2 linked regions of the Canis lupus familiaris genome follow. The protein of the gene in region 1 purifies or fractionates together with the protein of each later gene. This does not show direct contact. Links are inferred from orthologs where the notes say so. Each region holds a gene or a part of one and is shown on either strand. Other genes may lie near its edges.

What was found.
Region 2: the proteins of WRAP73 (region 1) and SSX2IP purify together in Homo sapiens (co-immunoprecipitation; 4 studies listed by BioGRID and IntAct, counting the BioPlex papers as one, with this or other methods). This does not show direct contact. The link is inferred for Canis lupus familiaris from reciprocal best matches to the Homo sapiens genes WRAP73 and SSX2IP.

The regions. Positions count from the first base shown.
Region 1 is NC_049226.1:58,647,645-58,651,823, forward strand, and holds the start of WRAP73 (WD repeat-containing protein WRAP73), read right to left. Parts: upstream 2,871-4,179; 5' UTR 2,782-2,870; coding exon 2,713-2,781; intron 1-2,712.
Region 2 is NC_049227.1:63,688,324-63,692,500, reverse strand, and holds the start of SSX2IP (afadin- and alpha-actinin-binding protein), read right to left. Parts: upstream 2,809-4,177; 5' UTR 2,720-2,808; intron 1-2,719. UniProt on the Homo sapiens protein: Belongs to an adhesion system, which plays a role in the organization of homotypic, interneuronal and heterotypic cell-cell adherens junctions (AJs).

The DNA.
Region 1 (4,179 bases):
CCACGTAAGGAAGGTGATGCAGCGCACACTCACAGGGACAGAGGCTCCTGCACTCGGGACCCTCCCAGACCTTGTCCTACGTATCTCTTCATCTGGCTGGTCACTTGTCTCTTTTATCATATGCTTTAGCACACTCACAAACACAAGCGACTGTTTCCCTGAGCTCTGTGAGCCACTCTGGAAGAGTCATCAAACCCGAGAGTGCTGTGGGAATGTGGGACTCGCAGTCCAGTGAGACAGAAGTTGTGTGTAACCTGAAGGCTTGCTACTGTGGCTGGCATGTGAGGTGGGGTGGGCACAGTCCACCTGTGGGGCTCAAGGCACACAGTGCCAGAATGGACACCCCACTAGTATCCTGGAGGTTCAAGGGCTGTGGAACACCCCGCTTCTGGCAAACGTGACCGCGAGTGTCAGCAGTGCAGTGAGTGTAGCAGCAGTGTGACAGCAAAGGAGACGTATGGGGTGAGGACCACACTTTCCTGGCATAGGAGGGAGAAGCAGAGATGCTTTCCTCACAGCCGCACTGCCTTACTCTGGATACTGACTAGCAAAATGTTCAAGAGTCAACACTGTTTTCTTGAAGACAGTTTATGGTCATACTTGTTAATAATACCCACATCTAAGCAAACAATTTGAGTTTACTCATCTGCTGACTATAGATTATACCACAGTTTAACTGATTTTTAAACGGTAACGGCTTCCTTCTGGTCCTTATCAAGATCAAACCAGATTATTGGTTTGTGGTCTATGAATAGACGTCTTACAAAGGCTTCATGAGTTGTCCTTGTCCAAAGGAGAGGGGAGGGGTGCCTGGGGGACTCAGTCGGTGAAGCATCTGTCTTCGGCTTAGGTCAGGTCATGATCCCAGGGTCCTGGTCATGATCAGCAGGGAGCCTGCTTCTCCCTCTTCCTCTGCCCCTCACCCTGCTTGTGCTCTCCCTCTCAAATAAAATCTCTTTTAAAAAAAAAGGAAAGGGGAGGGCAACTGCAGATTAGAACAAGCATGGGTCATACTGTAGCTTTGCAATCAGTTACAATGAACTCCTTATGAAATGGAACTTCTGTAAAAACACATCAAATCTGTTGCAAGGGGGCAGCCCGGGTGGCTCTGCAGTTTAGCGCCGCCTTCAGCCCAGGGCCTGATCCTGGAGACCCAGGACCAAGTCCCGCGTTGGGCTCCCTGCATGGAGCCTGCTTCTCCCTCTGCCTGTGTCTCTGCCTCTCTCTGTGTCTCTCATGAATAAATAAATAAAATCTTCAAAAAAAATCTGTTGCAAGATATTAAAAATAGCAACACAGACCTACTTTCTTCAGGATTTAGGAGAGCTTTGAAGAACAGGATTCCAGTAACATTATTATCAAGCTTCTTGCTATATTTTCACTAGAGTGTAGAAGCCCAAAGAGCAACAAAAAGAAAGTTAATATATAGTCTCTTTCTGTAATTTACTGGGATTTTTATAAAACCAATATATGGGGAGCACTTTGAAAAATACACCAAGGTTTCTGGGGTGAACTTTAAGCAGAAGACATTATGTATTTTTAAGCTGAATGCTAATTTACATGATTTAGAATAATGCCTCCATAAAGGAGTTATATTCTCAAAGAGCTAGACAAATAACAGGAATGTTAATAAGCCTCAATCTGAAAACGAATCATAAGGCATCAATAAGTTCATATAGAGAACCAAATGCCCTTTTGTAAGGCATCATTTTTTTCTTAATGGATTTCCCATGTCAATTATCCCCCCTACCGCCTCCCCCACCCAAGGTTCTAAGCATATACACTGATGATATTGGTACATTTCAAAACTTCCATTTCCTGTCCAGAGGAGCTCGGTGACTTCAGCACCATTCTCTCGCCCGGTAATGAACAGCTCAAATCCTAACAGCTCAAATAAAAGCAATGCAGACAACTCCATTTATCTGGACATAGAACACTATTATTTCAACCACTTATTTGGCACACGGTAGAGACCGGGGAAGAAGCCTGGGAAAGACAACGCAGCTGCACTACTGTACCAGGGTCCAGTCAACGGAATTATATATTTGCCTTTATGCGTCAAAATAACAACAGTGAGCTGATATGCTCCGTATCCTCAAATGTGTGGAGACAGCATTGCCATTATCTGCCTCTGACAGATGGAAACTGAGGTGCAGGGAGGCTCACACCTGCCCAAGTCCAGTTCCTGGGGGCCCCTGCTTAGAGCAGGACTTAGAGCAGGACTGCCTGAGTCCCCTGCCCCGCGTATCCACCCAGGCTCCGGATATCCACCCCAGTCCCTCTCCCCGGGTATCCACTCCGTCTCCCTGCCCCCTGCTCTGGGCACCCCCCCCGGCCCCCCCCCCGCCCCGATGTCCACCCCGGCCCCCTCCCGGGTACCCACCCCAGCCCCCTGCCCCGGTGTCCACCCTGGGTACCCACCTCCGCCCCCTGCCCCGGGTACCCACCCCGGCCCCCTGCCCCAGTGTCCACCCGGGTCCCCCTCCCCGGTGTCCACCCCGGATCCCCACCCCAGTCCCCCTCCCGGGTCCCCACCCCGGCCCCCGGCCCCAGTGTCCACCCGGGTCCCCCTCCCCGGTGTCCACCCCGGGTCCCCACCCCAGTCCCCCTCCCTGCCCCGGGCCCCGGTTGCAGGCATCCGCCAGGGACCACTCGTTGAGGCCAGTACCCGCGGCCCCCCGAGCTGCCCCTCCTCGGCCCGACGCCGCTCACCAGGTATTTGCCATCCGGGGAGAACTTGCAGAGCAGGTTGGAGAGCTTGAACACCTCGGAGAAGTTCATGGCGACCGCAGACCCCGGGGCCGCGCGCTTCTGTGCAGCTGGGACGGCCGCAACCGCTACCTCCGCGGCCGGAAGTGACGGAGAGCGGAAGCATGGCGCAGCCTATCAGGGCCCCGGGTGCCCGCGCGGCATTGTGGGGCTTGTAGTTCAGGCGGCCCCGCCCCACCGCCCTCCTTCCTGACTCGCTGTCCATTCCCGCCAGGGTTGCCAGAAAAACGCTGGGCGCGCGCTCAAATTGAATTTCAGACGAACAACGAACCATTTTTTTTTTTTTCAACGAACCATTTTTGTGGACAAATGTTTCTAAAACTTCATGGGACAAATCTATACTAAAAAAAGTACCCAATTATCTGAAATTCAAATGTAAATGGGTGTCCCGTGTGTATTTACTCTTACACGTGTACCTATATATAAACACTTAGATGTAAATATATTTACATATAAACGTGTTTCTCCATATATGTAATAGTGCATATGCACCTGTGTAAATGCGCATTCGTTTTCCCTAGATGTTTCAGCTGCATCGGGCAACCCTACCCCGCCTCCCCTGGGTACCACCTAGGTCTGGGGGAGCCAATGGGGCGCTGACTCCGCAGGCGGGCGTCGCGCTCCCTCCGGTTCCTCGCACGCGCGCCCTCTGCATTTGGACCCGCGTAGAGGAGAGGCACCGCGCGGGAGCCCGACCTAGACCGGGGTCCTCGGCACGGGGCGGCGGGCACCTGCATCAGCATCGCGCACTTCGCGCTCGCTCCCAGCGAGTGCCGTGCCCCCTCGCCTTCTGGGAACCCCTAGTCCTCTTTCCCCGAACAAGACTTCCCCCAGGTCCCGGCCAGGCCCTGCCAGCGCGTACGCAGCCTACCGGGTCTCGCGGACCCAGACAGCTGCGCTCGATCCTCCGTCTGAGAACGCAGACCCAGCCTGGCTCCCCCGCACACCTCCGTGCGCACGGTCCCGGGTCCACTCCCCAAGGACGCCCCCCAACTTCTGGAACAAAGGGGTAGGAAGTGCGCGCCCGCGTCCAGGTAGGCGGTGCCGGCCTTCTCCGCACTGGGCCAAACGGACCCGCGCATGCGATTCGCCCTCGGGTCCTACCCCCTGCCCCTCGAAACCAGGAGGTGAGCAGTACAGGTGTGTACAAGTGAGCCAAGTGCGCCAGGTGAGATGCGGACCTTGGCGGCCAGAAGCCGGTCTGCACCAGCCCGGTTCGCGCTCACTTCACCGGCGACACTGACGCAGGGTCACGCGGGCCCGGGGACGGCGGTCCGGAGGCGGATAACGGGTCCCGCGAGCACCGGAAGGCAGCGCGCCGCGGGGGCCGCCGAGGGCCTCTCGTTACGCGTCGGGCGCGTCGGGTTCTCAGGCCGAGGCCCCGCCCCGCGCGGGTCCGGGAACACCCGC
Region 2 (4,177 bases), on another chromosome or scaffold:
AATAAAAGAAACTTGGTTGCTACTCAGGCTCCAAGGCACTCTGTCTTTCTTCTGCAAGACTATTCCTTTCTTTGCCACCATTAGCATACATTCCTTAATCAAGGAAGCCCCAGGAAGCCACGAACCTGCAACACTGGGTGCACTTCTTTCCACACCAGGAGCATTGCCACAGGGTTAGCAGCTGGACATAATCTGAGTCTTGAGGGATTTTAAATCACTGTCAAAGGTGAACTTGCTATCAATGGGCTGAGACGCAGAACTAAGTTTCTGTCTCCAAGGATTCTATGGAGGACCATGCAGAAGAGGAACAAACACTCCATCATTCTGGCTCAACTGAATCCCAGCTACTTGAGCCATCCTGACCCTTGGGGTTGGATAAAGAGATTTCTGTAAGGATTCTGGATCTAAGCTACCATGTCAGAGTTCTTTACACACCTGGCCTTCCATCATGCATTTGTCTGTATTTTACTGTAAGGCAGGGGCTATCCCTGTGCATATAAATACTCCCTGCCTCCTTCAGGGAGAAGGGTCCTCAGTCAAATAAGTGAACCACCTTTTATTGAGCACTATGTTCCAGGCACTGTGCCAGGCTCAGGGAACCCTTGGGTCCTCAAGAAGACATTAGATGGAGGGCAGTATAGGTGGCAGGGGTGGTGGAAATCAGTATAATATGTTGCAGGTGACATGTCAGAAGTAACAATTGGATTCAGTGGGGGCACAAAGTAGGAGCTGCTATTTCCTCTGTGGGAAGAAAAGCTTCCCCCCACCAGCAGTTGTTTGGGAATGAAAGTCATAATGTGTAGATCTTCCATACACTCTTCCATCTGCTTGCTAGGCTTCAGTCCTGGTGGTCACAGATGTCTGCCTACCCAGTCTAGTGAGGACCAGCATCTGAGGCATGAATCGGGCTCTTCAAGCTCCAGGGCTTAGGACAATAGTTCCAGTATCCTAATTTTCCATGGTGGGAGCTATACTTGTCCATAGCTGTATTTGTCCATACATAAGAGAGTATAGTCATCCAGAAAAAGCCCACTCTTCTGGCACAATTGCCCAGGAAATCCCAGATAGATGTTTTCTTCAATAAAAGCTATGTTTATTTAAGAAACACTCCAAGTTAGGGGCTACAATAAATCAATAGAAGAAAAAGAAGCAGCAGCCCATCCACAGCCAGAGACCTGAACATCACCCAGGACATCCAGCTAGATTTGTCCCGTGGGCCACAGACTTGTGATTTTCCATGAAATGGCTAAGGAAAAACACTTGTACTGCACATTTCTGGGCCTACCTTACATCATCATGATAATTTGGGTTTTACCTGCACCCAAATGCATGATTTGGGGTAATCTAGTTCATTAAAAAAAAAAAAAAAAGATTTATTTATTTATTTTAGAGAAAGAGAGAGAACAGTGGGGAGGACAGAGGCAGAGGAAGAGAGAGTCTCAAGCAGACTCCACGCTGAGTATGGAACCCAACAGAGGGCTTGATCCCACAACCCTAAGATCACAACCTGAGCCGAAATGAAAAGTGGGACCCTTAACAACTACATCACCCAGGTGCCCGAGGTAATATAGTTCTTAATGACTGCATTCATTTACGTGCCCTATCCAGGAGTTATTGTATATAGTTACATTAGCATATATATTAACACGGAAAAACAGTGTCTACGTCATAGACAACAATTCACAGATAAGGACCAAAGGCAACTTCTAGAATCTGCTAGTAAGATCAAGCTAGAGTTCATGAAGCATGCTCTCCTTTTTGCTACTTGTTATTTTATCTAATTCTTTCCTCTAGCTTGATGCCTCTGCTCTATGCAGGCTTTGGGAAGCACACATCTGCTTATCAACAATCTCTGAAAGTGCCTTGAACTTTAGGAAAAACTCCATGCCCTTTTGAGGAGTCTCAAAAAATCAATCTCCACTAGTAGTTCTGAGGTGCCTTATCACGTCCAATGCACTCTCTACCTGGACCTTCATGGGAAACGTGAAACCTTGGAGAGGCAATGCCGGAATGTTTAATGCCCACTGACCCTCATTACTCCAGCCTTCCCCAGGCGGCAGCAGCATTAAGGAGGCAGCTCTTTGTCCACGTGGCCCCCTTACCTCTCCCCACTAGGTGCCATCCCTGGGGCCCTAGCATCAGGAAAACAGGTGGCTGCACCTCAGCGGCAACCAGGGAGAGCCAAGAGCAAAACCCATTTTTGCTTTTACTTAGTGAAAATCATGATCTGAGCTGTGTACTGCAGTGAAAAAATAATTTGTGAGTTTAAAAGCAGTGAACTATCCATTGCCACAGGTTACTTTTAAGACATGCTTTTTTGTCCCTGAGGAAGTTGCACTCCCAGTCATGAATCCCCAGGGAGGGCATGGAGGAGGAGGAGGAGGAGGAGGAGGAGGAGGAGGAGGAGGAGGAGGAGGAAGAAGAGGAAGAGAAGCATACCAGGGAAGGGAGCTCCCCTGGCAGTCACTTCAGGCTATAACTTTCGGAGCAAAGAAAATGGCTGAGCCGGTTCCGATCCCCTGCAGCCTGGCACGGTGATTGCTTTACACTCCAGGGCTGCAGGGCTCACTAGAGCACAGCTCAGCACCTCAGTGGCTCAGGCCTTCTCAGGCACTCTGCAGGAGGCTTGTCCCAGATATACAACTGCTCCTGCATCTGGTTTTAGGTTGCACCACAGTATGGAATCACAATCTATTCAGAAGAGATGTGTTCTACTCACCTGCCTTCATCACGTACATAGGTCTTGGTCCCCTCCACACGGCAGACCCTGCTCTAGGCACTGAGACTTCAGGAGTGAACCCAATACAGGTGCCATCATCATGGGGCTGGCGTTCTAATGGAAACAGACAATAAACAAGTAAACATACGAATATATGATATGGCATGTGGGAGTGATCTGTGCCATGGAAAGCCTAAAGCAAGGAGGGAGGATACGAGCTGCTCTGAGTGCGGTGGCCAGGGAAGGTCTGCTGATGAGCTGCCCTCTGAACAGAGTCCCTAATAGAGAGCATTTCAGGGGGAACAGCAGGAGCTCAGTAGAAGGAAGACTCTGGCAAAGAGCACTAAAAACTGATTTTATGAATCGCTTACTATGTCTGTAAGCAAGCACTTTGCATACCTAGCGTGCTGCCTGTATGCATCGGCGCATCTAACTGTCACGACAGTCCTTTGCCACAGGTACAATTATTCTCCCATTTTATAGATGATGAAACAGAGGCTGAAGGATGAGCTATTTTGCCTCAGCTCAAATACTTAGGACATGGCAGAGCTGAGGCTTGAGCTTGGGTCTAGTCTCAGTCCAAACGCGTCCCTAACCTCTTAAGATATAATGCCCCATGCTGCTGCGTTGGGGAGCACTCTCAGACCCTCGGGGCTTAGTGTGGAGGAAAGAACACTTTTGAGGCTATGTGTTGCCTGGAAGATGCTTTGCTCATCATGTAAACTGCTTTCTTGTATGATTATTTTCTCTCTTACTTGGAAATACAGGTCCAACCAAAGTTGTTTTTTGAGTGGCCTCCTGAGTCTTTGCTACTTCTCTTTACAAGATAGATGTGGTTGCCACTAGGACGACGGTGGATACCACTCAGGTTACCCTTACTTCAGGGCTTGGTGGGGGTGCCAAAAAGCTGCACAGTTCTTTCAACAACCTGGCATGTGAGACTCACATTTGTAAGGCTGCTTCATGAGCTCCGTTATGGTAGCCCTGGGATCCGAAGTGATTATAAATGGATAGCCATCTCGGTGAGTAGTTCATCCAGCAGAACGACATGAACACAGTTCAGTTTGGTGGAAAGAACAGCAATTTGGAATCAGTAGCTTTGCATTTTGCAGAGTCAGACCCCCCCCACCCCCCCCGCAAATCTGCATGATCCTGAGCAGATAAGTTAGTAGTCCTCTTGGAGCCTCAGAGTCCTCACCTACAAAATGGGAATAATCATGCCAACTTCTTTCCATCCTTTTCAGCTGTGACAAGAGTATATGCACAAGAGAATATACTTTTTATAAAGAGCTCCTTCATCCCTCCCCAGAAGAGAAGAGGAAACACAGGAAGAGCCTGGGTACAGAGGTCAATTCCTGTCTCCTAGATGTGAGAAGTCTGGATGCTATAAAATTGCCCTGGAGTTTATCCATGCTCCAATGGTAGTTCTTTGTGTTGGCTCTTCTGTCTTGGGGAGGC